Regions from separate parts of the Mus musculus genome. Here all the other regions are reported to be linked to region 1. The links are microRNA targets in miRTarBase. Many come from high-throughput screens and were not tested one by one. Region 1 holds a microRNA gene; each other region holds the end of a gene's coding sequence.

Region 1 (5,073 bases):
GCACACGATGTATGCGCCTCTTCAGCTGCTCCAGGCGCCGATGCATCTCTATGGCACCCATGTCATTGCACTGGTTTAGATCCCCCTGCACAGCGCAGACAAACTTCGCCTGCAATACGGAGGAGAAAAGGCGGGAAGCCAGAAAAGAGTCGCTTGCCTGCTCCTTCCTCAGGCTTGGTATTCTTGGCTTCGGAAAGACCCCTTTGGCTGCCCCAGCCAATAGATAACCTCCCCATTCATCCCTCAGCCAAAGTCCCACCCTCAAAGATCCTCCCTAGTTTAGGGAGTTAGTGGACTTCTGCTGCCCGCTGCCCGCAGCTCGCACCCAGAGGCTGCAGAGGAGCCCGCGCTGCTCGAACTCAGTCTGCTTGCCCTTCCGCACGACTCTCTCCGCCAGTGCTGGGTTGCGATCCAAGGTGCGGAAGAGTCGTCGCAGTGCACGCTCTGTGTAGGTCGCTGCTTGCCTCTCGAAGTCATCCTCGGAAATGAGCTGGCAGAAGGTCACACTCAGGGGGAATTCGTTGTCGAACTCATCCAGGACTTCCATTGGAAATGGACTGCTGGTGGTGGGTCGATGCTACCTGTGGGTAGAACGACCGTCGGGGCAGGGCTCCTGGGGCAGGGAGACCCTCCCGAGGGCCAGGACTGAGAAAGGTGATGGGAAACCATCGGGATGAGGACTGCAGGGCGTACCCACTCTCTCCCTACAGCCGCAGTGCAGACTCCAGATCCCCAGACTACCCACCCCCCTCCCGGTCTACCCCAGGGAATGAATGCCCACAGAGACAGGGGGCGGGTCCAGCACCAGTACGCGTAACAATGCTCACTTCTCTAGGCATGCGCATTGGTGTGCTCCCCACCCCACCCCGCCCCCACTGCTCCACCCCTCACTGTGACCGCCAAAGGCACCCAGGTACCTTCTGGATTTTGAGCTCCTGGATTTTGACCTCCTTCTGAGCCGTGGTCCTTTCCGTTTCAAAGCACCCAGCCCTCTCCCAGTTTGCAGTTCCCTCCATACTCTGCCCTACCAGACCGCCCTGGTAATTGAATCTACTTTCCAGTTCACTAAGATAATATCCAAAAGGACTTCCTTCTGCCCCCCAAAGGGCTTTAGCTCTGGCTTTTGCACCCTCTGAGTTTCCTACCTACTCGGAAGCATTACACACATCCCTCTCCAGATCATGTCCTGACCACTTCTTTTGCTTGTTTTTTGAGACAAGGTCTCCTATGTAATTCTAGCTATATTGGAATCCACTGTAGACCAGGCTGGAACTCTGCCTCCCAAACAATGGGATTAGAGACTGCATGCCTGCACCCATGACCACTTACTTGCTCTATGTCTTGATGTCCTCCTGTGGCCTCTCCTCACACCTACCTCCGCTACCTTCCTCTCCCTCCCCTCCCCTCTGGAGTGCTAGGGATTAAACCCAGGACCTTGTGCATAATAGGCAAGTGTTCTACACCCTGAGCCAATTCAAATTCACAGAAGTGACTTAGCCAACCTAAATCCTTTGCGGCCCAGACCTCCCCTGATATGTACATGTAAGATATGTAAGATATGCACATGTAAGATATGTAAGATATGCACATGTTAGGATTCCTAGCACCTCAGGATGGATCTGCTGTGGCAACAGCTGCTGACACACGTCTACCCTAGCCACAAAGGAGTGTGGTTGCTTCTTCCCCATCAAAGCCCTCCGTCAGGCCTGAGACTCATTATGTATCAGAGCAGTCCCCATGGGTGCCAGGACTTGTGGAGCTAGAGTACTATTAAGGCTGATTTTCTCAATCTATTCCCAAAAGGGAATCTGGAAGCCTGGGCCTCCTCTCAAGGAGGCAGGCCTGACCACCTCCTACTAGGTTTTTGTTTGTTTGTAAAAGAGGGGTGGGTGCATTGAAACAGGGCTTTACCATGTAAATATAGCTCTTCTGGAACGTGCAGGGTAGACCAGGTTGTCCTTGAACTCACAGAGATCTACCTACCCATGCCTTCCCTGTGCTGCATTCAAAGGCATGGGCCATTGGGTCTTGCCGCTAAAGGTAACTCTGCAAGCACACTAAGGATCGGGCATCCTTAAAAATTCAGCTCCAGGGCTGGAGAGATGGCTCAGTGGTTAAGAGCACTGTTCTTCCAGGGGTCCTGAGTTCAAATCCCAGCAACCACATGGTGGCTCACAACCATCTGTAATGGGATCCGATGGCCTCTTCTGGTGTGTCTGAAGACAGCTACAGTGCACTCATATAAATTAAATAAATAAATAAATAAATAAATAAATAAAAATGAGCTCCAGCCCTGTCTGGAAAGCAGACATACCAGACACCTCCATGCCTCTCCTACTCAGCACATACCCTCTTTGTAAAGGAGCAAGCAGACATGGCTGGCAGGCCTACTCTGCAGGCTTCTTGTTCCAAGTCCATCCATCTGGCCCAGGCAGGACACTTCTTCTGAGCCTCAAGGTGTGAACCCAAGGTGTGGTTATCTCAGGAAAGGCTGAGTCCAGTTCTTCCCGAGGCAGTCAAGGCTAAGCAAGGTATACAAACCTTTTCCATACAAAGAGGTGAACATCTGTTTCTCTCCACAAGGTCCTGGAGTTCCTAGTTTTGTTTTGATTCTTCAGACAGCTTCAAAACTGAGACAATCTTCCTGCATCAGCCTCCAGACATGGGCTCACCAATCTTTCTTTCTTTTTTAATTGATTAATTAATTAATTAGTTAATTTGGTTTTTCTCAAAACACGGTTTCTCTGTGTATCCCTGGCTGTCCTAAAACTCACTATGTAGACCAGGATGCCCTAGATCTGGGTGATCCACCTGCCTTTGCCTTCCAAGTGCTGAGATTTAAGGCATGAGCTACCTACCATTCACTCACCGCCGCGCCCCCTGCAGCAGACTCCCCTATCTTAACCTGGGGGGAGGGGGCTAAGAGCTTGAGACTGGAGCCTTTCCAAATCTGGGGTCTCCCCTTTGTACTGGTTCCAGCCTTGGAATATGGTTCTCAGCATCCACCTTATCCTTTTAGCTAGAGATAGCTATCTCTATCTAAGACTATGATCCAAGCACTGACCCTTTTGTTCCTCAGGCTCCTTAGCTGGCCCGACAGATGCCCTTTCATCATTGCACTGCTTCCCAGAGGCCCACAGTAGTGCAACAGGGAAAGAGTGTCCAACAAGCCTGTCAGTCTCACGGGGTGGGGCGGGGCATGGGGAGTTGGGGTGGCTGGAGTGGGATCTTAGACCTAGAACGCATGCCCACCTGGGCGGAGCCTCGGCCTGAGCAAAGGATGCCCTCTGACCCCAGAGACACGGGCCTGGCTACAATCTCAAGTTTCCATGGAGAAGAGAGTAAAATGAGCAGGGGGAGGGTACGGCCTGCAGGCCTGAGGGGCCAGGCCTGGAAAGGGAAGAAAGAAGGAACAGTAGGTGAGGTGGTCTTCGAGGCTGGTCCCAGATGCTTTGACAATACCATTGCACTGCTTCTCACAGCACAGTAGTGCAACCTAGTCAGAGCACCCGCAGCCAGCAGGAAATCCATCGCCCTCGCTGCACGCAGGGCTGCGCTGGAAATTCAACCACCATGGGTGGGTGGGACATCTATCCAAGCTCGGAGAACAGACGGGATTCCAGCCCGGATGCAGTCCTCTGGACTTATTAACTTCAGGGAACTCAAACTTTCTCTAACAGGCTTCTGATTCTGGTGAGGTACTCCAAGGAGGGAGCTGAAGGGCGAGCACCCGAGGGGGCTCAAACACAAAGGAGAGAGGCCTGCGCTCAGTTGCAGAGGGGAGCACAGTGGGACTACTTGTACCCTGTTTCAGACCAGAACTAGAATAAGAGGGATACTTCACTCCTTGCACGTGAGGCCCTTGGAGTCCGAGATCCGGTCCTTGGTCCATTCCCCCAGTATGAGTTCTGCACTCTATCCTAACAGATTCTCCTGCCTAGAAGAGCAGAACTAGGGCTTCCTGGCATCTGGAGTTTCCCTGGCCTCACCGCACACCCTATCCCAGACCAGTTACTCACGTGGACAGACACCTCTTGTTCTCACCAGGGGGACAAGGTGAAGCTTAGTGGAAGATCCAGGTAGGCGGCGGCCCCGTCATATCTGGACAACCCCGCACCTCAGCACCTCGTGGCGCCCTCTCTCCCTCGGCTCCATCTTTAACCATCTGACAGTCCCGAGGGCCGAGCCCCGGGCCTCAAGGCACAGCGCCAGCCTCATTGGCTTGCGCCTACACCAAGCTTTGCCTCCTGCGCACCTATTGGCTGCTGCTGGAAAGATTTCAAAATAGCCTCCAGGCTCCGATTGGCCAGGCGCCCGAGTTTTGGCTCCACCGTTTTAACAATGAGTTCTACAAACACTTTCTCCTCATTCATAACTCTTGAAAAGGAGCTCTGTCCGCCTTTTCCCAGCTCATTTCTCTGTAGTTATTATAGTGATACTCATGAGGGCGCGTCCATGCTTACTACACAGCTCACCAAATTAGCGAGGGCTCTGAGATCCCGGCAAAGTGTCCTTTGGCCAAGCCAGCGGTTGAATGAACCCCTAGGGGATGCTTCGTATTTCGCGAGAAATTTGTTCATTGCTCCTCCAGGATGGGACATTTACTTAAAAACCGTGGCCTTCCCTCTTTCTGTCCAACTTCAGAGCATCGTCATCAGGAAACCTCTGGCTGGGCTGAGGAGGCCCTGGCACTTTTTGTAAGTGAAGAAATGCTCTGATGTCATTGATGTCATTGAGAATGTGAACCACTTTATGGGTAAGAGTTCATTAAGTGACCTTTCTGAGCTAATATGTCCAAAGATACACAGCACCTAGCACCCAGAACCTGAGGTGTTCTACTCAGTTCTGTCAGCGAAGGGAAAAACAGAGTTTTGCAGCTGGCGTCTGAGCTTTACCCCTAGTTATATCCATATGAGACAGGGAATCTTTACCCCCCAGCTCAAAGGCTGAAAGAAAATATTTTTAAAGCAGACAGAGCTGGTTTTCGATCTTCAAGAACTCATTTTGTCCACTTAATTTTAAATGTAATTTTTTGTGTATGGGTGCTTTGTTTGCCTGTCTGTACCACCATGT
Region 2 (5,073 bases), not on the chromosome of region 1:
CAGGCATGCAGGTGTTACACTAGAGCAGTAGCTGAGAGCTAAAGTCTGATGCTAAAGTCTGATTTACAAGCACCAGGCAGAGACAGAGAGAGAGAGAGAGAGAGAGAGAGAGAGAGAGAGAGAGAGAGAGAGAGAGAGCTAACTGGGAATGGCTAGGCTTTTAGAACATCCCAGAGCAACACATCCTTCAACAAGACACACTTCCTAGTCCTTCCCATACTGTTCCATCAACTGTGGACCAAATATTCAAACATAAGATCCTATTGGGGGGCACTTCCATTCAAACCACCACAAGCTACATCACCCAAAAGCCCAAACCAGCACAAGTGACTGTTCACAAAAGCTACCACTCTGGAGCTCTCTACACAACTTGTAGGCATCTGGATATGTCTGAGAGGACTCTGGGTAGCACAGCTGGTCAGTCTCCTTCCCAGCAGTTCTTTACTGCTTCTATAACTCTGGGAAGAGCCCTCATGAAACTCCCAAGTCATGGTTTATCCAGACATGGACATAAGTCCTTTTCCCTTCCTCCTGAAAAGAATGTTTCAATCAGAGGAAACTGCTAAGCAGCTGTGGACTCCAGACTTATTCTAGAAACTTACCCCTCTCTCTCCCTTGGTGTCTACAGGAACTGCATCGGGCAGCAGTTTGCCATGCTGGAGCTAAAGGTGGCCATTGCCTTGATTCTGCTCCACTTTCAAGTAGCTCCAGACCTCACCAGGCCTCCTGCCTTCTCCAGCCACACTGTCCTCAGACCCAAGCATGGAATCTATTTGCACCTGAAGAAACTCCTTGAGTGTTAGATACTAGGAGAAATGGCGAAATTTATGTTTGTTGTTAAGTTAAATTTACAGCCCATGGTCCAGGCAAGTGGAAAAGAATCTAAGATTGATAGAAGCCTTGGAGGACTGTGGGTTGGAGCATTTCTACAGCTGCACATTACCCAAAGTTATTTTCAGGTAACACATGTGACCCTGATAAGTATAACTTGGAGAGATTGTCAAATTATTTTCTAATGGTTATTACCAATCTTATCTGAAGTGGGAATTTCTGAGTTCACTGGAGACTCAGTTGTGCCATGTGATGTTCTTCTGGAAGCTGTCTTATGAGAGGATGTTTTGCTGAAGAAGACACATGAGAGGTTGTTTTGCTGAAGCAGACACATGAGAGGATGTTTTGCTGAAGAAGACACATGAGAGGTTGTTTTGCTGAAGAAGACACATGAGAGGATGTTTTGCTGAAGAAGACACATGAGAGGTTGTTTTGCTGAAGAAGACACATAAGAGGTTGTTTTGCTGAAGAAGACACATGGGAGGATGTTTTGCTGAAGCAGACACATGGTGTTCTTCTGGAAGCTGCCTGGTGAAAGGGCATGGGGTGTTTCGCTGAAAGTGATGCTTAAGAGGATACATGATGTTTGAAAAGAGTGTACGTATAACCCAACAGACAGTGAGCAACTCTGGCATTGGTTCACCTTGCTTTCCTCACTGATCTTTATTTGTCAGGACTCCGTAGAGAGAAACTCAGCCAAGAGCTTCAAGAGGTGTTCCAGCTGCTTCTTGCTGCTTCAGGGGACTCCATTCAGTTTCTTCTGGATCAAGCTGCTGCTTGTTCATGTTTGGTGTTTTGCTAGTGGACTGGTATGCTAACGATTAAGATTGGAATCACCTCAAAGAACTACTTCTTTTTTTATGATTTTTTTTGTTAGGTATTTTCCTCATTTACATTTCCAATGCTATACCAAAAGTCCCCCATACCCTACCACCCACTCCCACTTTTTGGCCCTGGCGTTCCCCTGTACTGGGGCATATAAAATTTGCAAGTCCAATGGGCCTCTCTTTCCAGTGATGGCCAACTAAGCCATCTTCTGATACATATGCAGCTAGAGTCAAGAGCTCAGGGGTACTGGTTAGTTCATGATGTTGTTCTACCTATAGGGTTGCAGATCCCTTTAGCTCCTTGGGTATTTTCTCTAGCTTCTCCATCGGGGGCCCTGTGATCCATCCAATAGCTGACTGTGAGCATCCACTTCTGTGTTTGCTAGGCCCCAGCATAGTCTCACAAGAGACAGCTATATCAGGGTCCTTTCAGCAAAATCTTGCTACTGTGTGCAATGGTGTCAGCGTTTGGAAGCTGATTATGGGATGGATCCCCAGATATGGCAGTCTCTAGATGGTCCATCCTTTCGTCACAGCTCCAAACATTGTCTCTGTAACTCCTTTCCATGGGTGTTTTGTTCCCAATTCTAAGAAGGGGAAAAGTGTCCACACTTTGGTCTTCGTTCTTCTTGAGTTTCATGCCTTTAGCAAATTGTATCTTATATCTTGAGTATCCTAAGTTTCTGGGCTAATATCCACTTATCAGTGAGTACATATTTTGTGAGTTCCTTTGTGGTGGGGTTACCTCACTCAGGATGATGCCCTCCAGGTCCATCCAACTAGGTCCATGTCCTCCTTGTCCTATTAACCATCTTCCTTCCCCACCTTTGGTCTGTGGGGTATAAAGGAGGTTGAAGCATTAAGAATCTTTATTAGGGGCTGGTGAGATGGCTCAGTGGGTAAGAGCACCCGACTGCTCTTCCGAAGGTCCAGAGTTCAAATCCCAGCAACCACATGGTGGCTCACAACCACCCGAAATGAGATCTGATGCCCTCTTCTGGTGTGTCTGACGACAGCTACAGTGTACTTGCATATAATAAATAAATAAATCTTTAAAAAAAAAAAAAGAAAGAAAGGCTACACTCGGGGCTACACTGGGATCTTGAACACCTATGGTTGTCAATGACTGGTTAATAAAGACTTTCTGTTGGCTTAAAAAAAAAACAAAAAAAAAGAATCTTTATTAAAGTAGGCTTAATGAAAAATCTAAGCCTACACCTAGTGATGATTTTCTGTTTGTTTTTTATTGTTTTTGGAATTATACAAATAACAGGATTTGTATTGGATGAAAAACATTTCCAGCAATAGGAGGTGTTCATAAAATCCCACCTCACCAGGGCTACTGCCCTGACAGAGTCTACTGCTTTCTCTAAAAACAGAATTGTATGCATTCTTCCTGACTCTTTCCTGCATAAATAATGTGTGTGTGCACTCTTAGACATGTGATCATATTTGTATTCTTCTTGTTTTTCTCACATAATTAAAAAATTGCCCTAATCCACCTTATTATAAGGTTGAGATATGTGAGTGTTCTATGATTTGTTTCAAAATATTTCTATTACTGGATAAATTAAATTAGTTATAATTTTTAAATGTATTTATTGACTGTGTGTGTGTGTGTGTGTGTGTGTGTGTGTGTGTGTCTGTGTGTGTGTGTGTGTATGTGTGAGCACATGCATGCATGTGTACTCAGGTCCAGGTGTGTATTCACGTGTATGTAGAAGCATATAGAGGCCAGAGGCAAACCTCGAGTATCATTTTTCAGGTTTCATCTGCCATGCTTTTTCAGACAGGATCTCTTACTAGCCCAAAGCTCACCCAGTAGGTTTGGCTAGATGGCTACTGAGCCCCATGATCTGCCTGTCTTTACCGCCCCAGCTCTGGGATTACAAGCATGTACCACTCCCCACCCCCATGCCTCACTATTTCCACATGGGATCTGGGGATTAAACCCAAGTCCTCAGGTTTGCAAAGCAAGATTTTACCTATTGAGCTACCTACCTAGTCCCTATCTTTATGGAGACAACACTATCTTTATTTTTGTATGATGTTTTTTCTTAGTTATCCATATATTCTTCATATATTATGGATAATAAGTCTTGCTTATAACTTTTCTTTGTAATATTTCAGATTCTTTTACTCTTATTAACTTGTAGGTGTGGTTCTTTTACATATGAAATGCTTTGATTTTAATGATGTCAGATTTGTATACACACTTTTCTTTATGGTTTCTTGGTTTTGAATCTTGAATAAGAATGTCTAAATTTGGGGCTGGTGAGATGGCTCATTGGGTAAGAGCACCCGACTGCTCTTCCGAAGGTCCGAAGTTCAAATCCCAGCAACCACATGGTGGCTCACAACCACCCGTAATGAGATCTGATGCCCTCTTCTGGTGTGTCTGAAGACAGCTACAGTGTACTTACATATAATAAATAAATAAAATCTTTAAAAAAAAAAAAAAAAAAAAAAAGAATGTCTAAATTTGCCGAGCATGGTGGCGCACACCTTTAATCTCAGGAAGCAGAGGTAGGCGGATTTCTGAGTTCGAGGCCAGCCTGGTCTACAAAGTGAGTTCCAGGACAGCCAGGGCTATACAGAGAAACCCTGTCTCGAAAAACAAAACAAAACGAAAAGAATGTCTAAACTTACACTACTACAAAAATATTCTACTTACATTTCTGTTGCTAACTACTCTTATGAAGCCTAAATGGGAACTAAATTCATCACTCATTGGAACCTAATCAGAAATTAGATTGGTTTTTAAATATAGAGGAAGCCCTTTGAGGAGTTTTCAACTAGAGATAAAACTAGAGTGAACTGCACTTTTAAAAGGTTTTCTGGATGTAGTGATGCATACTTATAACCCCATCACTTGAAAGGCTAAAGCAAAAGAATCATAAGTTCAAGACCAGCCTGGACTACAGAGAAAAGGGGGTGTGGATGTGTGTCAAAAGAAAGAGACTGTGTGTGTGTGTGTGTGTGTGTGTGTGTGTGTGTGTGTGTGTGTGTGTGTGTGTGTGTAGGGAGAGAAAAGAGAGGGAGAGGCAGGGTTACATCTGTTGCATGGATAATGAACAAATTATTGATAGGATAGAGTGGGGCAGAAGGAGAAACCAGAAGAAATGTATGTACACAATCAGAATGCTAGGTCACAGATAAGAATAGATGCTGCATGCTTAGCTGTTGGAAAAGATACCATGGTCATGAAGGTGGTTTTCCTAGGACACGGCTCATCCATTGCTGACTCCTGAGATTTGACTTGTAGTTGAGAATTGTGTTCATTTTCTCCCCTGAATTAAAAGGAAAAAAAAGTAAAAAGTAGATGCTGCTTGCCAAGAGTGGTGGCAGTGGACTGTAGGAGAAATGAACATGGAAGTGACTTTGATGGCATTTAAAAGAGTAAAGAGAACTTGTG
Region 3 (5,073 bases), not on the chromosome of region 1:
TATATGAGTACACTGTAGCTGTCTTCAGACATACCAGAAGAGGGCATCAGATCCCATTACAGATGGTTATGAGCCCCCATGTGGTTGCTGGGAATTGGACTGGACTCAGGACCTCTGGAAGAGCAGTCAGTGTTCTTAACTGCTGAGCCATCTCTCCAGTACCAGGAGCTATTTTTTTTTTTAAAAGTCTTTTTAAAGTGAGATTCTTTTACACTAAAGGCAAGCATTTTAGCAATAGGAATAATGGGTATTTTTTTTAAAGTTCAACATTAGCAGGGTGGGTAGTACATAACTTTAATCCCAGCACTCAGGAGACAGAGTTCAAGACCAGCCAGAGCTACATAGTGAGACCCTGTGTCAAGAGACAAAACAAAAGCCGACATTATCAGTGTCCGATGAGTGTTCAGCTAGAGACGGGGTATTTTTCAAGCATCATCATCATGTCACTGAACATACTTACAGGGCAATCTTTTTCTAGGCTATACAAGACACAAACAATTTGAAGAGATTTATCCGACAGGCAGAGATGAATCATTACGCTCTGTTTAAATGTTACATGTTCCTTAAGAACTGTGGCAGTGGAGATATCCTTTTGAAGATTGTTAAAGTGGAACATGAAGAAATGCCCGAGGCCAAAAGTGTGGTGGCTGTCCTTGAAGAATTCATGAGAGAAGCGCTTGTCTGAAGTTCCAGTCCCGTGTTGAGGATCTGTTTCATGGAGTGTATTGAGGCTGCATGTGGGGGCTGTAATTACCATTGTTTATAGGATTGCACTGCCCTAAGATGACTGGAAACACCCCAGCTTCTTCCTTTTGTGCTTTTTTTGTTTAATTTAATTAAACACAACAATCAGAGGAATGTCTTCACCAGGTCCTAGGCAGACGCTGTGTTACAGCTGGGGAATTTTGCTGTCTCATAAATCCTAAGCACGTGCTGCCTAAAGAGCTCTGGAGATGAGTTTTGGCTTCTTGGGAGTTTACCGTAGTGTTTAGCAGGATTTCCTCCTCCAAAAGAAACATAGTATGCCTTTCTCAGTACAATGTAGAAGTTTGTAAAGTACATGATCCTAGCAAGATGTGATGACACATGCCTATAATCCCAGCTACTCAGGAGGTTGAGGCAGGAGGTTGTGAGGTTCCAGGCCAGCCTGAGCTACTGAGTAAGTTTATGTCCAGCTTGGACTACAGGGCAGTCATCACCTTCCTGGTCTTACTGCACCATCAGCTCGCTTCATTGACAGCCTGTTCATCCTCTGAGTGCCTGATACAAACCAATGGGCAGGAATGACGAAGCCACCTTTTGAAGCGAATATACACACGAATTATGAGTGTATAAGCACTTAAAAATGAGCTTTATGTATAGAAACTTGTGGGCTGGCAAGGTGGCTCAGAAGGTAAAGAAACCTGCCACCAAGTCTGACAACCTATGTTCAATCCCCAAACTCACTTGGTAGGAGAGAACCAACTCCACAAGTTGCCTCTGACCCATACAGAGCTACATACTCAATAAATAAATACATGAAGATATGGTGGGCTGGAGAGGCAGCTCAGCAGTTAAGAGCATTGTTGCTCTTGGAGAGGAGCCGGCACCTACCTGGTGGCTCAATTTCAGGGGATTTGACACCCTGTTCTGACCTCCTCAAGCGTCAGGCACACATGTAGTGTATAGATATACATGCAGACAAAACATACACATAAAATAATCTAAAACCAGTAAGAAAGAAAAGAAAGAGGAAGAGAGAGAAGAAAGGGTATACTAGCTTCAAGATGAAACATTCTCTCTGACTAAAAAGCTCTTGTGGCAATTTACACAATAGGTATTTATTTGCCAGGAGCCTGTATTTTTTTCTTCCTTATTTCTAGATAAAAATGCTGGAATTCTTAAGCAGTATTAAGAAAAAGGGAAATAAAACAGTTAATATAGGAAATATCCTTTACAAGCAAATATAAGAATGCACATGTGGTGATTCATGTCTTTGAATGTAACCTTCCACAAGACGTAGGCAGTTGGAACTCCCTGAGTTCAGGGCCAGTCTGATTTACTGAGTTATATAGTAAGCTTCAGGCCAGCCAGAATTACAGAGTGAGTCCCTGTCTCAATAAATAAGAAAATAAACAATATTTTAAAAATTAAAAAATGTAAACAAATTCCTCTCAACACAATTGCTCATTGATTTTAGATCTTTCTGTCTGTCATAAGCCTCAGATCGTTTTGCCCTGAGTCAATTGCAAGAGCCCTTGAGTCGTCATTTCTCATCCCATGGGTGCCAGCTGCAGCCACACGCGTAGCTGTTCTGCATAGCTCTTTAATAAATCCATTTGGTAATGAATTTGGTTTAGAAAATCAGAAGGCTTATGTTCTCACTGCCTTTGGGATGCTCAGAGGAGCATGAGTCTGTGAAACGGAGGCATTCTTAACTGCTTGTAAACCCTGCTAGGAGCTGAGTTCTAACTTTCAAAGAGACTAATGATATGGCTTTCTGCCTTTGCTTCTCCATAAGTCAGTCTAGGGATAGGAGTCACCACGCCCTTCCTTTCCCTTTAATGAGAAATACAATTCAGTATCTTCATAAATGCTTTCATATGGCTTTAAAGTTTAATAGCTTGGATTATAGGCAGTATAGAAAAGAATGTAAGTAGCATTTTTATAGCTATCTGACGGCTGGATAGTCAGCAGCTCTGTGGTACTTTTCTTGAATCTTTTCCCAATGCACTTGGTGCCCACTTGGAAATCATTAAAAATGAGCGACATTAGGACATCGAGATTTTGAGTCTCTAAAATAGTAATCTTTATTTTTAAATTCACAATCAGGAGCAAATAGAATTCTAAAAGTAAGTGTAGGGGTTAGGGAAACAGCTCAGTGTAAAGTACTCGCTATGCAAACGTAAGGACCTCAGTTTGATCCTCGGGACTTAAATACAGAAGCAGGAGTGCTAGCATGTGCTTGTAGTCCCAGCACTGGGGAGGAGACTCAGTTCTTACTGCCAGCCCAGCTGACTTGGTAAGCTTCAGGCCAGCAGAGACCTTATCTGAAAACAAATGGAAAAAAAAAAAAGATAGCTCAATGGATAAAGGCCCTGGCTGGCAAGTCTAGAGCCCATGTGAAGGTGGAGGGAGAGCTCACTCCTGCAAGCTGCTCTCTCTCTCACTCTGTCTATGCATCCTTCAGAGCTAACTATTAACAAACAAGAAAACAGAAGGGTAGATGGCTCCTGAGGATTGTCCTCTGACCTCCAAATGTTTGTGCACACAAATAATAATATATATACCAATAATAAATAAAAGCAAATGCTCTACCAAAAAATAATAAAAATAAACGCAAATGCAGCCAGGCAATGGTGGTGCACACCTTTAACCCCAGCCCTCAGGAGGCAGAGGCAGATGGATCTCTGAGTTCAAAGTCAGCCTGGTCTACAGAATGAGTTACAGAATAGCCAGTTACACAGAGAAACCCTGTCTTGGTAAAAAGAAAACCAAAACAATAATAAAGGAGATGCATTAAGTCACGTGTGGATATAGGAAAAACATAACTCTATATTCTTTGCTTATTTATAGGTACTTCTTTGTAATGTAAGCCCACTACACTACACAATTGTATATAGTAGTCTTATATTTAAAAAGAATCTGCATAGGCAGAGACAGGCGGATTTCTGAGTTCGAGGTCAGCCTGGTCTACAGAGTGAGTTCCAGGACAGCCAGGGCTATACAGAGAAACCCTGTCTCAAAAAAACCAAAACAAAAAAACAAAGAATCTGCAAAATTCTGTACCACTGAAAAAAGATGTCATGGAATTAATTATCTTGTTGATATGAAAAACAGCTCATAACCATAAGCCTATTGTCATATTCAAATTTTAATGTGAATGTATTAAATTTTAAAGGCTTGGGGGATGGAGGAACACCCTCTCAGAACAAAGGGGAGGGGGAATAGGATGAAGAATTCTAAGAGGGGGTGCTGGGAGGGGGGCAACATTTGAAATGTAAATAAATAATTAATTTTAAAATATTAAAGGCTTAAATAGTGTTTGTTCAGATGCGAAGTAAACGAGTGCTTATGTGCAGTACGCAGGAAATATGTTGGCCTTGTGTAAAAATGCCTCTGTGTAACAGTGATAAAACTCCAGGTCAAGGCAGGTAGTTTTACCTAACTGAGCTTAATTCTTACCTTTAATTATTTCCAGTAATTTTACATGGAAATTATACTTCACACACACACAAAGATGTGTGAAAAAAACTCAGATTACCTGTTGGAATGCACACAGAAGAGGTAAACAGGTTTCTCACAATGGTTCATTTGTTGTGTAAAAAACAGTTTCACCTGTAGGACGCAGTAGCTCAGGTCCTTTCCTGTCTTGCTCATTGTTCAGAGTGATAGGACTCTAGGTGGTGGTGCAGGCCTTTAAATGGAGGCAGGCGGATCTCTGAGTCACAGGCCAGCCTGGTCTACAGAGTGAGTTCCAGGACAGCCAGGGCTACACAGAGAAACCCTGTCTCAAACAAACAAAGCAAAACAAAAGTGAGAGACAGGACTTGATGCTGGAAATTCTGGTGACAGGGAGTAGTGACAGGGCTGACAAGAGAAGTCTGAGCAAACATTTCAAAGTTACCAACTGTTCCTCATAGCCTTGGGCTGATGCAGTGAGACAGGCTCTTCATTGTGCATGTTCATGTGTGTGTTTGCACGGATATGTGGAGACCAGAGGACCTTGTATGTGTGGCCTGGGGCTTGCCAAGTAGACTAGGCTGGCCAAGTCCCAGGGATTTGCCTTCCCTATGCTGGAATGGCAAGTGTATACCACACGTGGGTATGAGGAACTTAACTCAAGGCCCAATGGCTGCACAGCCATGTTATTGAGCTCTCTCCCTAGCCAGAAACTGGCCCTTTGTTGACAGGGTCTCTATTATGGAGCTCTGGCAGTCCCGGAACTCCATCTGTAGGCCAGGCTAGCCTTAAACTCAGAGATCTGCCTGCCTCCGTTCCCAAGTGTTGAGACTAAAATCATGCAGCACCATGGCCAGCCAGGAATGGCTTCTCACACTCTATCATTGCATGGTTTAATGCCCTTGAAGTCCC
Region 4 (5,073 bases), not on the chromosome of region 1:
AGGTACACTCATCATTGAAGCAGCAAAGAGGGATCTAGGTACAAGATCCCTCAACGTAACCCAACACTTCATGACAACTTCGAGGTACGTCCTAAAAAGGTTGCACCTTGAACAGTCTCCAACATGTGACTGACCTATATACCCCAAAGGCGTGTAAAGCTCAACCAGAAGACAGAAATAAGAAAGAAAGCAAAACGAACCCTTTAAAAGTTCTACTCTGTCAAGTAAGATTGCTGGACGGTGGTGGCCCACACCTTTAATCCCAGCACTTGGACAGAGGCAAGTTTTCTCTTTCTCAAGTTTTGTTTTCTCTCATTATGTAGCTTGGCTGATTTGAACAGAGATCAGCCAAGCTACAAAAGATGATCCTGTCTCAAAACAAAAGCAATCCATACAATCAAGGTACAGAATGGAAATGAGAAAAATGGTGATGCATCACAGTATACCACACACACGTATGAAAATGTCACAATGACACGGTATCTTTACAGTTCTACCATATAGAGACTGGCAAGGGGCATGGTCAAACACATTTACAACCTTGCAGAGGTTATTTTTAACATAGACACAATTGTGGAAAAATTAACCCAAAAGATTTAAGTCTATAAAATGTAAAAGCAGTCAAAGAATTATGAGATTATAGGGAAAAAAAAAAAGGTTTAGGTCAGGAGAATAAAATCCACTTCAAAATTAAGCCTATAAATTATTGGCTGTTACGCTGGGTGTGGTGGTGCACGCCTTCAATCCCAGCACTCGGGAGGCAGAGACAGGCGGATTTCTGAGTTTGAGGCCAGCCTGGTCTACAAAGTGAGCTCCAGGACAGCCAGGGCTATACAGAGAAACCCTGTCTCAAAAAACAAACAAACAAAAAATTGGCTGTTTCCAGGAACACAGTAAAAGCCAGTTACCCCAGAAGATACCACCAGTACCACAAAATCCAGCTGTAGTTACAATGGTTATTTACTTTTAAGACAGGATTATGCTGGGCACGGTAATATATACCTTTAATTCCAGCAACTGGGAGGCAGAAGGAAGTTCAAGGCCAGCCTGGTCTATATTGTTTCAGGACAGCCAGAGCTACATTGTGAGACTCCGTCTCAAAAAGATAAAAGACTGCTTCACCATGTATCCTGGATTGGCCTGGAACTCAGAGATCCATTTACCTGCCTCTGCCTCCCAAGTGCTGATATCATAGATGTGAGTCACCATGCCCCACCCAGCAGTGTTCTTAACCCTAGACATACTATGCTCCTAATAATTCAAAGTAAAATATGTGGGCATCAAGATTGAATACCACAGAATTAACTGCGGCTCTTCCAGAGGTTGGATTTGGTCTTTAAGCACTCACACCAGCAGCTCACAACTCTGAAGCTCCAGAGGACCTAGAGGCCTCTGTTAGCACCACACACATAAACAAAACAGTAAGTCAAGAAAGGGAGACACTGTGCATTTGTAATGAAGAAAGGCAAACCGTCTCCCAATGGTCACTGAACATTTCAAGAGGCTCAGATGTGCCATTACACAGGCAGGTGGCAACCACACCACCACACTTTTGTTTCATTTCAAATAGCTACAAGGACCATTATGATAAATGCTTGAGGCATACATAGCCCGACTTGACACAATGTACAAATCTCAAAACATCACCTGGAAACCTTAGATAGTACATTGTTTTTGTTTTACTAAAACCATTATACATATCTTCTTCAAGTACTCAAACCCAACAGTAAGCTTTATAAATTGTTTCAAAGCAACCTTTTAATAAAAAAATAATAATTTATGTGCACATGAATACTGATGTCCAAGGAGACCAGAGGTGGATGTGGGTCCTCTTGAAGAGCAGTGTGTGTTCTTAACTCTGGCTCCACTCGCCAGCCCCTAAATTATCTTTTTTGAAACATCTGTGTGTGTGCATACATCACCATTTGTGCATGGAGGCCAGAGGACAACTTGCAGGAGTTGGTTTTCTCCTTCCACCACGTAGATCCCATGGACTGAGCTTGAGTCTTCAGGGTGGCTGCTAAGTGACTATGCCTTTACCAGCTGAGTCACCTTACCATATCCAAAGTACACTTCCCTGTTGAATACTCACTCTTAGGCACCGAGATCCACTATCTGCCTCCACAATGCTGGGTGACACATGTGTCATTATATACAACTTTTAGAGATGGAACCCAGGGCACAGTACATGTGCTAGGCAAGTGCTCTACCAATGAACTACATTTGTAGCCATTAACACGTCTTTTAAAAAGACTGATCTTTATTTTTTGTTTGAGTGGTTTGCCTGCAGGCATGTACACCACATGTGTGTCTGATGCCGTGGAGACCAGAAGAGAGTATCAGGGCCTCTGGAGTCGAAGTTATAGGCAGCTGGGGGCTACAAGATTGACTGCTAAGCACCTGTCCAGACTTCTTGACAACACCCATTTTTGATAATTCTTTGCTCTTAATCAAAAGACTTAAAAAATTATGGCAATCTCATTATAGTGCCCATTAAAATTCTCTCATTTGAGTGATTCCCTTCCAACTATCATTTGATTTTTTTGAAGAAATTATTAAACTCACACATTTTCACTAATTTTACATCAGGTTAAAGTATTAACATTTTCAAATTTCAAGAGAAGCCTAGTAATTGCCTCTGAATGCTTTTAAGACCACTCACTCTTTGACACAAGCCCCATTCTGAGAATCTGTATGTACATGACATGTGTCAACTATAGGAAAGACTCCATTAGAGCCCTCTTTATCGTCAGGATCCCCAGTGCAGCTGCTTGGTGTCTACCTCCCTCAAGTGTTGGATCAGAAGTGCTGTACATTAAGTCAGGCATGGTGGCATATATAGGCAGTATCATCCATGAGTTCTAGGACAGCTTGGCCTATATAGCAAGATCCCAGCCACTCAGGGCAACAGAAAGACTCTGTTGCCCTGCCCTTACCACAACCCACCCTAACAAAACAAAACAGTGCTGTATATAGATGTTACTTGTTTGGCCAGGAAGAAAAGACGAAGTAGCACAAATAACAGGCTGGAGAATGTGTTTCTTCGAACTCAGAATAAAAAGAAGACACCTAGAAAAACTAAGGTTTTTTGAGACAGGGTTTCTCTGTGTAGCCCTGGCTGTCCTGGAACTCACTCTGTAGACCAGGCTGGCCTCAAACTCAGAAATGCGCCTGCCTCTGCCTCCCAAGTGCTGGGATTAAAGGTGTGCGCCACCAGTACCTGGCCTAGGGTTTTTTTTGATTTAGAAAATTAACTCACAAACTGGCTTGTTTTTTTTTTTTTTTTTTTTTTTTTTATACAGGGCAATACTGTAACTTCACTGTTGGTTCCAAATTCAACACAGTACAAAGCAAGGAAACATTTATTTACTACACTCACACAGTAATGATCAAGCATCCTCATGTTTGCCCAGATAGCTTAAAATAGCAAATATTCAGTCCCCACAAGAAGAACTGTCTTCGGTTTTAAGCCAAGTCAAAGAATAGAAGGGAAACCCATTACTCGCTGAGCTTGGCACTCAGGCACCATTCTCGGACCTGGCGCAAACATCAGCCCACATCAGCATTGCTTCTACTCGGCTTCACTGCTTTACCAGGTAAGGAACACAAGCTAAGGTTCTAACACCTTATCCAGACAAGTTTAACTAACTCTAAGATCACATGACTTGACAAGAAATATACAAATGTTGGTTAAGAACTTACCGTTCTGTCAATCATTTTAAAGAGTCCATGAAATATACATAGCAATATATTTGTAACCAGAAACTACACTAATTAGACACATCATTTAGTTTGTTAAGTTCTACCTGAAAACATGCCATTTTAAGTAAAATCCTAAAAACATAACTCTCAAGTTCTATGGTTTAACAACCAAGTCCCACTAAAACAGCACAGATTTCCTTTCACAAGCGCAGGCCAGCAACAAGACAAACTGCGGTATGTCAGACAAACAGGTCCCCAAGTTCTTCTGAAGAACACCAAGGAGTTGCCAGAGAGGTTACACAGTGGCCTTGATCTTTATTTTTCTTTACCTGGGATTCTACAAATTCTGAAATTGATCAATAGATTTATCTTGTTAATAAACAGCACCAGTCGTGCCCACTGATACAATTCAAACCTGACTTTCTCAGTTCTCAAGTTTATTATGAAAACACTGCGGTGACTTGTGCAGTAACATCATCTTACAGGAGGGAAACAGTTCTGTTCAAAACAACTCACCAGGTTTTCTGACAGTAACAAAGAACAACGCGGGGCTGAGATTTGAGAAGGGGAGAAACTGAGTGCAGACAAATCATACAATTAAATTAATGGTATCCCTGAAAGAAACACAACAAGAGGGGAGGCCTTGGTACTTATTTAAAAATGTTCATTAAGCTCCAATGATTGTTTGCTATCCTCATCTACAGTCATGCTGAGTAAGCTACAGCTAAGTGAAGTCAACTGGACTCACGGGTGTTAATGTTTAATCCTATATCTGCAGTCTCTCAAGAAAGCAAAAGTAACTACAAATAGCGCTATGCCAGAAACTGGATTCTTGACCAACAATGTCGCGTCAGCATGCAATGAACTGGTTCATTCTAAAGTGGTCACGGCTGTTGATGACAAGAGGCTTTGTATTTTATATGGCACATCTTTTGGTCCGTGTGAAAACAAGTTTTTGAATGTTAACTATTTTCTGACACTTTGGAGTTACTGTTGCTCTTCCCATTTCCATTAGGTCAATATACGGTTCATGGCAATACTGTACAAGTTTACATTTTCATTACAGGAAGTAGTCTGGGGTACGACGAGTGACATGTGGCTCGCCTCTACGAGGTGCTGGGTCAAACTGCAAGCTGAAAAACAAGGAAGACTCAGTGTTACTACTCCAGAAGATACCATGTAGTTAACAAAACTAACATCTTCCAAATTTTCAAATTTTCTTCCCCATCCAACTTCAGTACATTTTAAAAGAATAGAACCCAACTTTAATAGACCTAGGTATATTGGGGCACAGCTCTAACATTACCACTTGGGAAACTGAGGCAAGAAAATCACAGTTCTAGACCAGCTTGGGCTACAAACACATGGTTA
Region 5 (5,073 bases), not on the chromosome of region 1:
GTGTTTACAACAGACACGAACAGAACCTTCCTCTCACTGGAGGGTCAAACAAAACGATACTGTCAGGGAGAGCTCGTGGAACAGCCTGTGCCTAGTGTGGTTTCTGCCCTGCATCCCATTCCTGGTACAGCTGGGGAGGGAGGGGTTGTACCGGGGTTGGGTACGATTCATGTGGACCAGCTTTCTCCTAAGGGCTTGCTTAGGTCTCCAGCCAAACCCACTATTTTCTGGAGTGGTGAGGGTAGAGTGCCTCAGTTTACCAGTTCAGAGGCATGGGCTTCAGGATGGGAGGGGTTGTGAAGACTGTTCCTCACGCCAGCTTTTTTCTAACCCTGTGTTCTCATCCCTTCAGGAAATGCCACAGATATCAACGACAACAGGTACTCAGACTTGGGGTCTCTGGGCGGGACCCAAAAAAATCGAATAACACTTCTCTAAGAGGACTTCCCTGGAGCTCTGGGGAGGAGGGAAGAAATGAGGCAGGAGATCCAGGCACTCCCATGGGTACTTTCTCCGTACCTCAGGGAACGTTCCGACCTTGGGCAAGGCCTGAGGTTCCTTAGGAAGCCTGCATCCTTCCTGCCCTCACCCGCCCTTCAGTATCTCAGGCACGCTGTCAGAGTGCTGGCCGCAGTGGGGGCAGAGCTGTTGACAGGCTGTTTCTTCCTCCAGGAGTGACCTGCCGTGTGGCTATGAGGCTGAGGACCAGGCCAAGCTTTTCCCTCTCCACCAAGAGACAGCAGCCAGCTAACTCCCAACCCTGGCCACATATCTGCACTTTCAGGTAGCTGCAGGCCACTTCCCTCCCTAGCCCCAGCCTCCTCCTGTCTGGCCATGGCTGCTTCTCCTGTTCATGTGTATGTGTATATGTTTGTATGTGTCTGTATGTGTGTGTTGTGTGTGCATGAGTGTACCCACATCAGGAGGCCAAGGTTAGTAGGTGTGGGTGTCTTCATTTGTGTGTGTGTGTGTGTGCGCGCTCACATCCACAGGCCAGCCTTGGTGTGGGTGTCTTCCTCTCTCACTTTCCATCTTACTTTTTGAGGTCTCTCACAGAACCTGGAGCTTGCTGTTTTGGGGTAGACTGGCTGGTCAGTCACCTCCCCACCCTCCCTCTGTCCCACCCCACCCCCCATATCTGCCCATTTCTGTCCCCTGGGGTACTGGGGATCCAAACATAGTCCTCATGTCTGTTCAGTAAGCACTTAGTGACTGAGCCAAAATCTTCCAACTCCTGCTTGGCCCTGTATGGCTGCACGAGGCAGAGGCAGGGAGATCATGAGTTCAAAGGAGTCCTGGATTCATGAGACCCTGTATCAAAACCAAACAGAAACATTTGCTAAAAAGCCCAAATCTCATTCATAGCCAACCCTGACCTCCCATGGCCCCAAGCCTTCCCTTAGGTGCTGGTGGTAATCACAGTACTCATTTCTACCACTAGGGGTCACTGTCATACATTAAAATTTTTGTTAAAGGCAAGGGCTGCTGTCCATCGGTCTACTACCTTGTGCCTTTACCCTAAAATAGCCTTAAAATAGCCTTAGATACACAGAGATGTCTAAGCCACCTCGTGTAAAGGTGATGTCTGCACTACTCCTGGATTGACATATGCTGCCAAAGACTCTCGGTGTCTCTAGCTAGAAACAACAGTACGGTCAGTAAAAATGGAAACCAGCTGCCTCCCCATCCACTAACCCTCCAGCTTCAACACCTCCCCAATCACACCAAGTCCCCGATCACACCAGGACCTGGTGTCACCGGGCATATTCCATGTTTGTTTTAGACCCCAGATGGTCAGAGAGACCTATGTTATGGTACACTTTATAGCTCCTTTGCTGAATCAAGAGAAAATGTCCAGTCTTGCTGAGATGCACGAGGCCGCGTCCCTCCCAGGCTTTCCCCGGACAGTGGCTCAGGCAGAAAAGCAGGAGAGAAAGAGATGTGTTAAGGGGGAGAGGATGCTGGCAAGACTTGGGGTGGAGAAACATGGATTGGACTGGCTGGCAGTGGGGGGTGGGGCTGGCTTCGTGGTGTTCTATGTTGTCTGTTCCTACACAGAGGCCAGGCCGGGCTGGCTCCTCACACCCTCTTTCTCTTTCTTCCCCAGTTTCTAAGAGGGACTGAGGCCTCTTCTCTCAGCATGCTGCAAAACCTGTGGTCTCTGACACTAACTCCCTCCCCAGCCCGTGATGTTGGACTGTTTGATGTCTCCTCCTATTCCGTATCTCTTTGTACTCTGTATCTATCTATCAGAAGCTGCTGCTGTCTCTCCTCTCTGTCCTCCCCTCTAAGTATCTGATGATGTATTTAGCAGTTTTTAAGCATAGTCTCCCTTCCTCGTTGGGCGTTAGGGAGGAGGGAATATTTCTTCTTTCTTCCATAGACTCGTTTCTTACACCGAGTGATGTCAGTCACTGAGTAGAGGTCACAAAAGATAAAGGAAAAATGGGAGCGGGGAGGCTGCCCTTCTTCTCTCTCACAAACACACGTGTACACGCACACACGCATGCACACACAGTGTACATACAAAGCCTTAAGCAGAGGAATGTCTTAGCATCTACGAAAAGAGAGAAATAGACCCCTTCCCTCTTTACACAGAACACAGAGGAGGCCCCAGTGGAAGGTTGCGACACCGCTCTCTCCCTCACACATACGCATCCCTCACCGGAGTCAGCACACTGGAGGCGGTCTCCTCTGCCCTGTGAGGTCTGCCTTGTGCTCCCTTCCCTGGTTGGAGAGCATGGACTACTCAAGGGACTGTTTCCCTTTCTGGCCCAAGCCTCTTGTACTTTCCACTCCAGATATCACAACCAGAACTTAGAGTTGGTTTAAAACATCTTCTGAAAATTCGAGAAGGCGGACTGCTGAGAAACCGCTGCTCACCTGTCTGTGCCAATAGTTATACGCAGGTGGAGTCAGAATGGTTGGCTCCCTGGCTCTGGGGAGTGAGCAGGCTGAGGGACTACTGTGTGCTACTCTGTCACAGAACCCTCAGGTTGAAGCTCCAAGCTCGTTCTTTCTCCCATATTGGGCTGTGTGTGCTTCCCACTCCTGACTTTGGTTTGGGGCTTCCGGTTTGTTGGCATAATCGCCGTCTCTAGATGCCGTCCCTTCAGAATGGAATCTGGCCTGTTCCCAGTATACCTTCCTCCCCCAAACACAGTTCCTTCTGTAATCTCCATCTGGTCCCAAGTGCACTTTAAAGACAGGGGTGGGGGAGCAGGTTGGAGCATGGTGGCAGGCGGCCTCCCTGACACAGGAAAAAGCTCTGCTGTTGATCCCAGCACTGCAAAAGCAAAAAAGCAGAAGCTGGGTGTAGTGGCTCACACTTTCGAATGTTGCTCTCAGGAAGCCGAGGTAGGAAAATTGCTAAATTTGAGGCTATCCTGGACTACACAGTTAGATCCAGGAGAGCTTGTACTATGACGGGAGGAAATCCTATCTCAGAATGAAGGAAAGGGAAGAAGGAAGAGGAAGGAAGGAAGGAAGGAAAAGTAAGGAAAGGGAGGAAGGAAGGAAAGAAAGGAAGGAAGGGAGGAAAGGAAGGAAGTGGGGACAGGACAGTTTTTTTCCGAACTGGCAGGGGCTAAGAGCATGAAATTAATGCTTTCCCCACTGCCATCTCAGCTCAGGTCCCCTCCTGCCCAGCACTGAAGAGGACGGACGTTGCTTTAGTTCAGATGGTCCTGTCCTCCCATCTGCTAAGGTATTTTTCCAGACAGCTGCAGGGATGAAGGTCAGTACTCAGCCTAAGCCAAGAAAAACAGTTGAGTATCCAGATACCCAGTCCATCCCAGGATGGGAGACCAGGGCTCTCCAACAGAGGGCAGCCTGCTGTCCAGACCCTGCTAGGCCTGGGAGGAAAACTCCCTGTGGGTGACAGCTGGCAACTATGAGCTGTAGTGGCTGTGACTCCCTCAAGGGACCGTTTCTGCTCTGTAGGGAGTGATTGAGATGAAGACAGTATCAGACTGGCATGGGAGAACTCCCAAGTGACAATTTTCAAACACTTCAGAATAAATCTGATGACTAAGCAGAACCTAGGGCTTTGACCATGGCTTAGTGGTACCATGCGAAGACACTTAGTGTGACAAGTCTGAGGGTTCAGTCTATCTCTGGAACCGCAAACAACACGAAACAACCAAAATGGTAAAGTAATTCAGAGCGAGGAACGTTTGTTATAATTTCTTTCTTTTCATACCCCCTCACAGTGGAAAATGCTTCATTCATTGGAGGGTCCTGAGATAGCCCTAAGAGCTTAGAACTCACTCATTTGCCAGAGGGGTCCAGTCTGCTCCCCCCCCCCACACACACACACACTCTCTAAAACCACAACTCAAAAGAAAGGTCAGGAGGTGCAGACAAATCGCACACCTCAGACACAGTGGGCAAGGAAGGAAAAGGGTGTTCCCTGTGGCTCATGCTGGCAGGATGAGGATGCTTGGGATTCTGAGGGAGTTTGCATGATCTTGTCACCAAACGATCCTTTTCAAAATACAAGTGAGGAGATGTGGAGGCGTGCAGCAGAGCAGATGAGGAGGGGGGCGGCAGTGGCCAGCCTTCCCTCCTCGGCAAGATGTAAGGGACACGGCCATTTGCTATGCTAAAGAAACAGCCCTTCACCGGAAGGTTCTCACCACATCCTCCCCCTTACCTTCACTACATCCCTTTCAGAGAGCCAGGCCACCACCAGGGCCCCTGGCCCGCCCACTTACATCTGCCAAAGTGAAATGTTGCATGCCGGCGTGGAAGACAAAACCAAACCGCACAAATCCCAGTGTGTATTTACTTGGTGGACACAAATATCTTTAAAATAAAATAACTTCGATGACGACTTGCTGTTGCTTCTTATTCATTTTTCAAAGGGCTTTTGTTTGCCTTTTGTTGATACAAGTTTTGCCTGCACATATTTACATGTACCATGTATGTGCCTGGTGCCCTTAGGAGGCTGGAATAGGGCACTAAATCCTGAGGAACTGGAGGTACCAATGGTCGTAAGCAGGGATGTGGGCAGTGAAACTGAGCCCTGGTCCTCTATGAGAGAAAAGAGAAGGGGTGCTCCTAAGCACAGAA
Region 6 (5,073 bases), not on the chromosome of region 1:
ACACTCTGCTTGAGAAGTCAGCCTGGCTGACTCCTTTTCTTGGGGCTGGAGAGATGGTGGCTCAGTGGTTGCGAGCATGAGGATCCTGGCTCCATTTCCAGCTCCCACATGGCAGCTCACACCTGCCTGTAACTCCAGTTCCAGGGGATCTGACACCATCACACAGACATATATGCAGGCAAAATGCCAATGCACATAAAATAAAAATAAATGGAAGGATGGAAGGAAAGTCCTTGTCTGAGGGTGAGTGGCTCGACCTAACAGGTGGAGCTTAGAGCCCAGGAATGATAAACTGCACGCACCTGCCCTTGTCAGGCTACCACATGGTTTACTGAACAGAAGTTAATGGCTAAATTGTTTACCTGATATAAGGAAACCCAACCAAGCTCACCATAGTGAATTCAAAGTTCTCTTCTGATTGTCCCAAGATACCAGAAGAGGCCTTCTCTAGCTTGCCTGTAATGTAATGCCAAGATTCTGTGTGGACAAAAACCTTCACTCTACCTCCTCAGCTTCAGGGAGGCCCTTTGGCTTGCCACGGAACCTTCCTGAATGACCTTTCTGCTCTGACCTTACCTTATCACTCGGTGCAGACAGAAAGCCCTCTTCTGAAAGCAGGTTGGGGCAGAAGGGCAGTTTGAGCTTTGGAAGCAGGTGACCTTGACCCCACTCTTCTTCTGCCACTCCTCCCAGCCGTCCTGCCAACATCATCTGTTCCTGACAGATGAAGAAAAGCAACTGCTGGCACAAGAAGGGATTACTCTGCCCTCTCACCTGCCCCTCACCAAGGTAACAATGGTCCCCAAAAGGGTGTCCCCATCACAGAGGCTCCACTCAACCTGTAGAGAGCCTGGATCCCAGGGAACATCTGGGGAGTTGTGGGAGGCTAAGGGTCTAGCACTGAACACCCTGAACCTCCAGGCAGAGGAGAGAATACTCAAGAAGATCAGGAGGAAAATCCGCAACAAGCAGTCGGCTCAGGACAGCCGGCGGCGGAAGAAAGAATACTTAGATGGGCTGGAGAGCAGGTATGCTTGGGTGGTGTCTGGGCCCCCTTTCTCTCACCAAAGCATGTTAAGGGGCCATCTGCCAAGCCTGCTCTGCTTCTCCACACTCCCTAGAGTGGCGGCCTGTTCGGAACAGAATCAGAAACTACAGAGAAAGGTCCAGGAGCTGGAGAGGCAGAACATGTGAGTGATAGTGTCTGGATGAAGGAGAGGGCAGGAGCCAGTCACAGGGAAGCCGTTCTCAGGCTGACTCTCCCTCCTTCTCCTAGCTTCTTGATGGAACAGGTCCGCCAGTTACAGAAGCTCACTGCTCAGACCTCCAGCAGAGCTGCCCAGACCAGCACCTGTGTTCTGGTACCATCAGCATGTTCCTTACTTCCCATCTGCCACCCTCCACACTTCCACCTAACACCTGCCCAGCCCTGTTCTCCAAACTGTGACACCTCTATGACCCTCTATTCCCTATGCCTTCATCCTCTGTTGTCCCCAAAGCCCAAGTACCTTCCTGTTCCTTTTCAGATTCTTCTTTTTTCACTGGCTCTCATCATCCTGCCCAGTTTCAGCCCCTTTCAGGGTCAATCAGAAGCTAGGCCCGAGGATTATCAGCTTCATGGAGGTAAGAGGCAAGGGTACAGCAGCCCCAAGGATGAGCCACGAAACAATTCTCCAAAACAGTCAACAAGTAGGAGTTCTGGGCCAGTCTCCTACCCAAGCAAATGGTCTACCATCACCCTCTCTCCTCAGTGATTTCCAGAAATATCTTGACTCACGAGAACGTAACAGAAAACCTGGAGAGTCCAGTGCTAAAGTCCAAACTGGAGGAGCTACCTGAAGCCCCAACTACAAATGGTTCAACAAAGACACATCTGAAGATGCGAGTGAAGGCGAGACCCCCTGGACAGATCAGGGGAATGGTGCATACAGATGAGATGTAAGCCAATCACACAAGACACCACACAGGCTTCCCTATCACCTTTTATCATGTGGCAGGGCACCTCAAATGCTTGTCATACATTTGTGATTTCATTTCTTCTTTGTGGTAAGGTCAAAGGGAAACAAGTTTTAACTTGGAAATAAACTTCCTAGCTCAAATTCTATCCCAAGTTTTTCACTATGTAAACTAAGCTGGTCTCAAACTCTTGACTTGCCTACAAGTATATAGTACCACATCCAGCTTGGAAATTGTGTTTATTATTGTGTATAAGTAGGGTGTGTAATATATATATAGTATAATATACATGTGAAGGTCCAAGGGCAACTTTTGGGTTCTTTCTTCTCACCACGTATTCTAAGAATCAAACTTAGGTCATCAGGCCTATGCAACAGAATTTTTTTTTAACATTTTTATTTATGTGTATGTGTTTCTATGTGAATCCATAACATATGGGCAATGGATTCCCCTGGAGCTGGTAGCCGTAGCCGTGAGCCAAGTACAGTCCTCTGAGAAAGTAGCACGTTGTCTTAACTGCAGCCATCTCTCTAGCCACTGCACCAAAGCATCTTTAGTACCTGAGCCCTCTGCCAGCCCAGAAACTTTATATAAAAGATGGCAGACTGGCTCAGTAGCTAAGAACATTTGTTGTTACACAGAAGACCTGGATCTGGTTCATAGCACTTTCTGGGTGACTCTTAGCCATCTATAACTTCAGTTCCCAAAGACCCAATGTCCTGTTCTTACGGCACCAGCCAGACATGCAAATGGTCCATGTGCATGCAGGTAAACCATTTGCACACACAAAAGATAAATAAATCTAAAACAATTTTAAAGCAATAAAAGGGAGAGGTAATAGTTAACTCTCGAAATCGTTTCTCTTCTCTCACTGTACCCAGGTCTTCTTTCCCCATATTAAAGTACTATTTTTTAAAAAGGTTTATTCATTTGGTGGCTGAAGAAGTGGTTAAGAACATTTATTCCTCTTTCAGAGGACTCATATTCAAGCTCCTACACCATGCAGCAGCTCAGGATTTGGTATCCTCTTCTGGACTCCATGTGTACCAGACACACACACACCGTACAGACAAATGGCTTAGATACATGGAAAGACTATATCCAAGAAGGGAAGTACTCGTTTTTCCTTGTATGTATGTCTGTTTCTGCATGAGTTTATCTGTGTCACTTACTGCAAGCCCATAGAAGCCACAGGGTATCACAGCTCCTGAAGCTAGGATTATAAGTGACTGTGAGCCACAGGGCTTGGGAGCTGGGAACCAAACCCTTATCCTGGGTAAGAGCAGCAAGTGCTTTTTTTTCTTTTTTTTTAAAGATTTGTTTTATGCATATGAGTACACTATAACTGTCTTCAGACACACCAGAAGAGAGCATCAGACCCTATTACAGATGGTTGTGAGCCACCATGTGGTTGCTGAGAACTGAACTCAGGACCTCTGGAAGAGCAGTCAGCGTAGTCATCTCTCCAGCCCCCAGCAAGTGATCTTTAGCACTGAGCCAACTCACCAACCCTTTTTAATTTAATTAATATTTTTTCTTTTTTGTTGTTTTTTTTTTTTCGAGACAGGGTTTCTCTGTATAGCCCTGGCTGTCCTGGAACTCACTTTGTAGATCAGGGTAGCCTCCAACTCAGAAATCCGCCTGCCTCTGCCTCCCGAGTGCTGGGATTAAAGATGTGTGCTACCACCGCCCGGCTTTTAATTAATTTTTTGAGACAGGGTCTTACTAAGTATTCCTTGCTGGCCTGGAGCTCCATATGTCGTCCAAGCTGGTCTTGAACTCACAGAGATCTGCCTCTCTCTGCTGCCCAAGTGCTAGGATTTAAGGCATCTCCCACCTCCCCCAGTCTTCCCCAAGCCAAATGATTACACTAAAGGAAACTCTTTACTCCTTTATTATTTCCGTTTTCTCTTTAAAGACAGGCTTACTATGTAGTTCAGCCTAGTCGGCCTACAAAGTTACCAAGGATCCTCCTGCCTCATTCTCTCAAGTGCTGGGATTCCAAGTCTGTGTCATGTCCAGCTCTATTTTACTTTTTATTGTGCTCATTAATGGTCTAGAAGAGGAAGTCATTGAAAATGCTACTACCACAGGTTTACGAGTGCAAATTAGCCGCTGAACTTTCTCCATCTGAGATACAGTCCGTAAAGAGCCACCATAATACAGTAGAAATTCAGCTATATGGACTCAATTTGCTTCCTGACTTTTTCAAGAGCCTTTCTGTCCAGTTGTCGCTGACGAACGATGACAAGGCAGGCGAAGACTAAAGCTACAGCCACCACAACGCCTTCAAATTTCCAGAATAAGTGTTGTTCCAGTAGAGCCGAACGGCAGCTGAGGGCAGAAAAGGACAGTCACTCCCAGGGAAAGTCAGTTTCTCTTAATTACCATTCTTCATGGCAGCCCACCCAAAACACTATCTGAAAATAAGAGAAACTAGTTAGTCTGTAGTTAATCTGTAGCCTCCGATGAGATAAACAGAGCAGCATTAACCAGTTTGATTGCTTTTTTTTTTTTCTGATAAAGTTTCACCGGGTGCTGGTGGTGGTGGTGGTCCATGCCTTTAATCCCAGCACTGGGGAGGCAAAGGTAGAGAGATCTGAGTTCAAAGCCAGCCTGGACTACACAGCAAGTTCTAGGAGAGCCAGATCCATACAAAGAAACCCTATCTCAAAAACAAAACAAACAAAAAAGTCTCAGGTAGTTCAAGCTGCCCTTGAACTCCCAACTCCCCTGCCTCCACTTCCCAAATGCTAGGATTATAAGGTGTACTACCACGCCCAGCTCTTCTTCCTTTTTTAAAAAGAAGTTATATTTGTTTTTTATATTTTGTGTGTGCATACTCATGCCAAGGAAGAGGTTGCCATTGTCCCTGTCTGAAAACACACACACACAAACACACACACACACACACACAAACAACCAATTAGAAGACAACTTGCTGAAATGAGTTCTATACTTCTAGCATCCATATGTGTGCTTAATGCCCAAGGAGGCCAAAAGAGGGTGCTGGCAGATACCTGGGAACTGGAGTCAGACCAACTTTGTAGGTGCTGAGAACTGAAACAGGGTTCTCTGCAATAGTGCTAAGTGCCTTCAATCACTGAAGCATCTAAT

The links. The annotated mature microRNA mmu-miR-301b-3p reads CAGUGCAAUGGUAUUGUCAAAGC and lies in region 1 at 3,450-3,472, opposite strand. An mRNA with a match to its seed (bases 2 to 7 or 8) in the 3' UTR can be bound and repressed. Matches are read on the target gene's strand: a 7mer-m8 pairs with bases 2 to 8, a 7mer-A1 pairs with bases 2 to 7 and ends in A, and an 8mer does both.
Region 2: miRTarBase lists Cyp4x1 as a target of mmu-miR-301b-3p. The part of its 3' UTR that is shown has no 7-base or 8-base seed match.
Region 3: the mRNA of 5730455P16Rik is a reported target of mmu-miR-301b-3p. Seed matches in the 3' UTR shown: 7mer-m8 at 769-775.
Region 4: the mRNA of Ppp2ca is a reported target of mmu-miR-301b-3p. The part of its 3' UTR that is shown has no 7-base or 8-base seed match.
Region 5: miRTarBase lists Kif5a as a target of mmu-miR-301b-3p. The part of its 3' UTR that is shown has no 7-base or 8-base seed match.
Region 6: the mRNA of Jtb is a reported target of mmu-miR-301b-3p. Seed matches in the 3' UTR shown: 7mer-m8 at 4,057-4,063.

The regions. Positions count from the first base shown.
Region 1 is chr16:17,120,971-17,126,043 of GRCm38, forward strand. It overlaps Mir301b (microRNA 301b), which reads right to left and starts at 3,526; the gene lies at 3,430-3,526. It overlaps 2610318N02Rik (RIKEN cDNA 2610318N02 gene), which reads right to left and starts at 4,232. Exons shown (of 7, transcript NM_001358255.1): 1 at 4,020-4,232; 2 at 326-581; 3 at 1-109. The coding sequence starts at 547. It overlaps Mir130b (microRNA 130b), which reads right to left and starts at 3,172; the gene lies at 3,091-3,172.
Region 2 is chr4:115,104,412-115,109,484 of GRCm38, reverse strand. Cyp4x1 (cytochrome P450, family 4, subfamily x, polypeptide 1) reads left to right here. Exons shown (of 12, transcript NM_001003947.2): 12 at 629-3,162. The coding sequence ends at 803. Among named protein-coding and RNA genes, the nearest start is that of Pdzk1ip1, 18 kb to the right of the region's middle.
Region 3 is chr11:80,359,424-80,364,496 of GRCm38, reverse strand. 5730455P16Rik (RIKEN cDNA 5730455P16 gene) reads left to right here. Exons shown (of 10, transcript NM_027472.3): 10 at 479-4,005. The coding sequence ends at 685. Among named protein-coding and RNA genes, the nearest start is that of 5730455P16Rik, 16 kb to the left of the region's middle.
Region 4 is chr11:52,121,664-52,126,736 of GRCm38, reverse strand. It overlaps Ppp2ca (protein phosphatase 2 (formerly 2A), catalytic subunit, alpha isoform), which reads right to left. Exons shown (of 7, transcript NM_019411.4): 7 at 3,988-4,835. The coding sequence ends at 4,763. Among named protein-coding and RNA genes, the nearest start is that of Mir3061, 2.5 kb to the left of the region's middle.
Region 5 is chr10:127,225,456-127,230,528 of GRCm38, reverse strand. It overlaps Kif5a (kinesin family member 5A), which reads left to right. Exons shown (of 29, transcript NM_001039000.4): 27 at 353-380; 28 at 673-784; 29 at 2,108-4,834. The coding sequence ends at 751. Among named protein-coding and RNA genes, the nearest start is that of Pip4k2c, 16 kb to the right of the region's middle.
Region 6 is chr3:90,234,600-90,239,672 of GRCm38, reverse strand. Jtb (jumping translocation breakpoint) reads right to left here. Exons shown (of 5, transcript NM_206924.2): 5 at 3,833-4,290. The coding sequence ends at 4,134. It overlaps Creb3l4 (cAMP responsive element binding protein 3-like 4), which reads left to right. Exons shown (of 10, transcript NM_001307934.1): 5 at 694-789; 6 at 922-1,028; 7 at 1,122-1,190; 8 at 1,277-1,361; 9 at 1,527-1,623; 10 at 1,752-2,175. The coding sequence ends at 1,942. Among named protein-coding and RNA genes, the nearest start is that of Jtb, 5.5 kb to the right of the region's middle.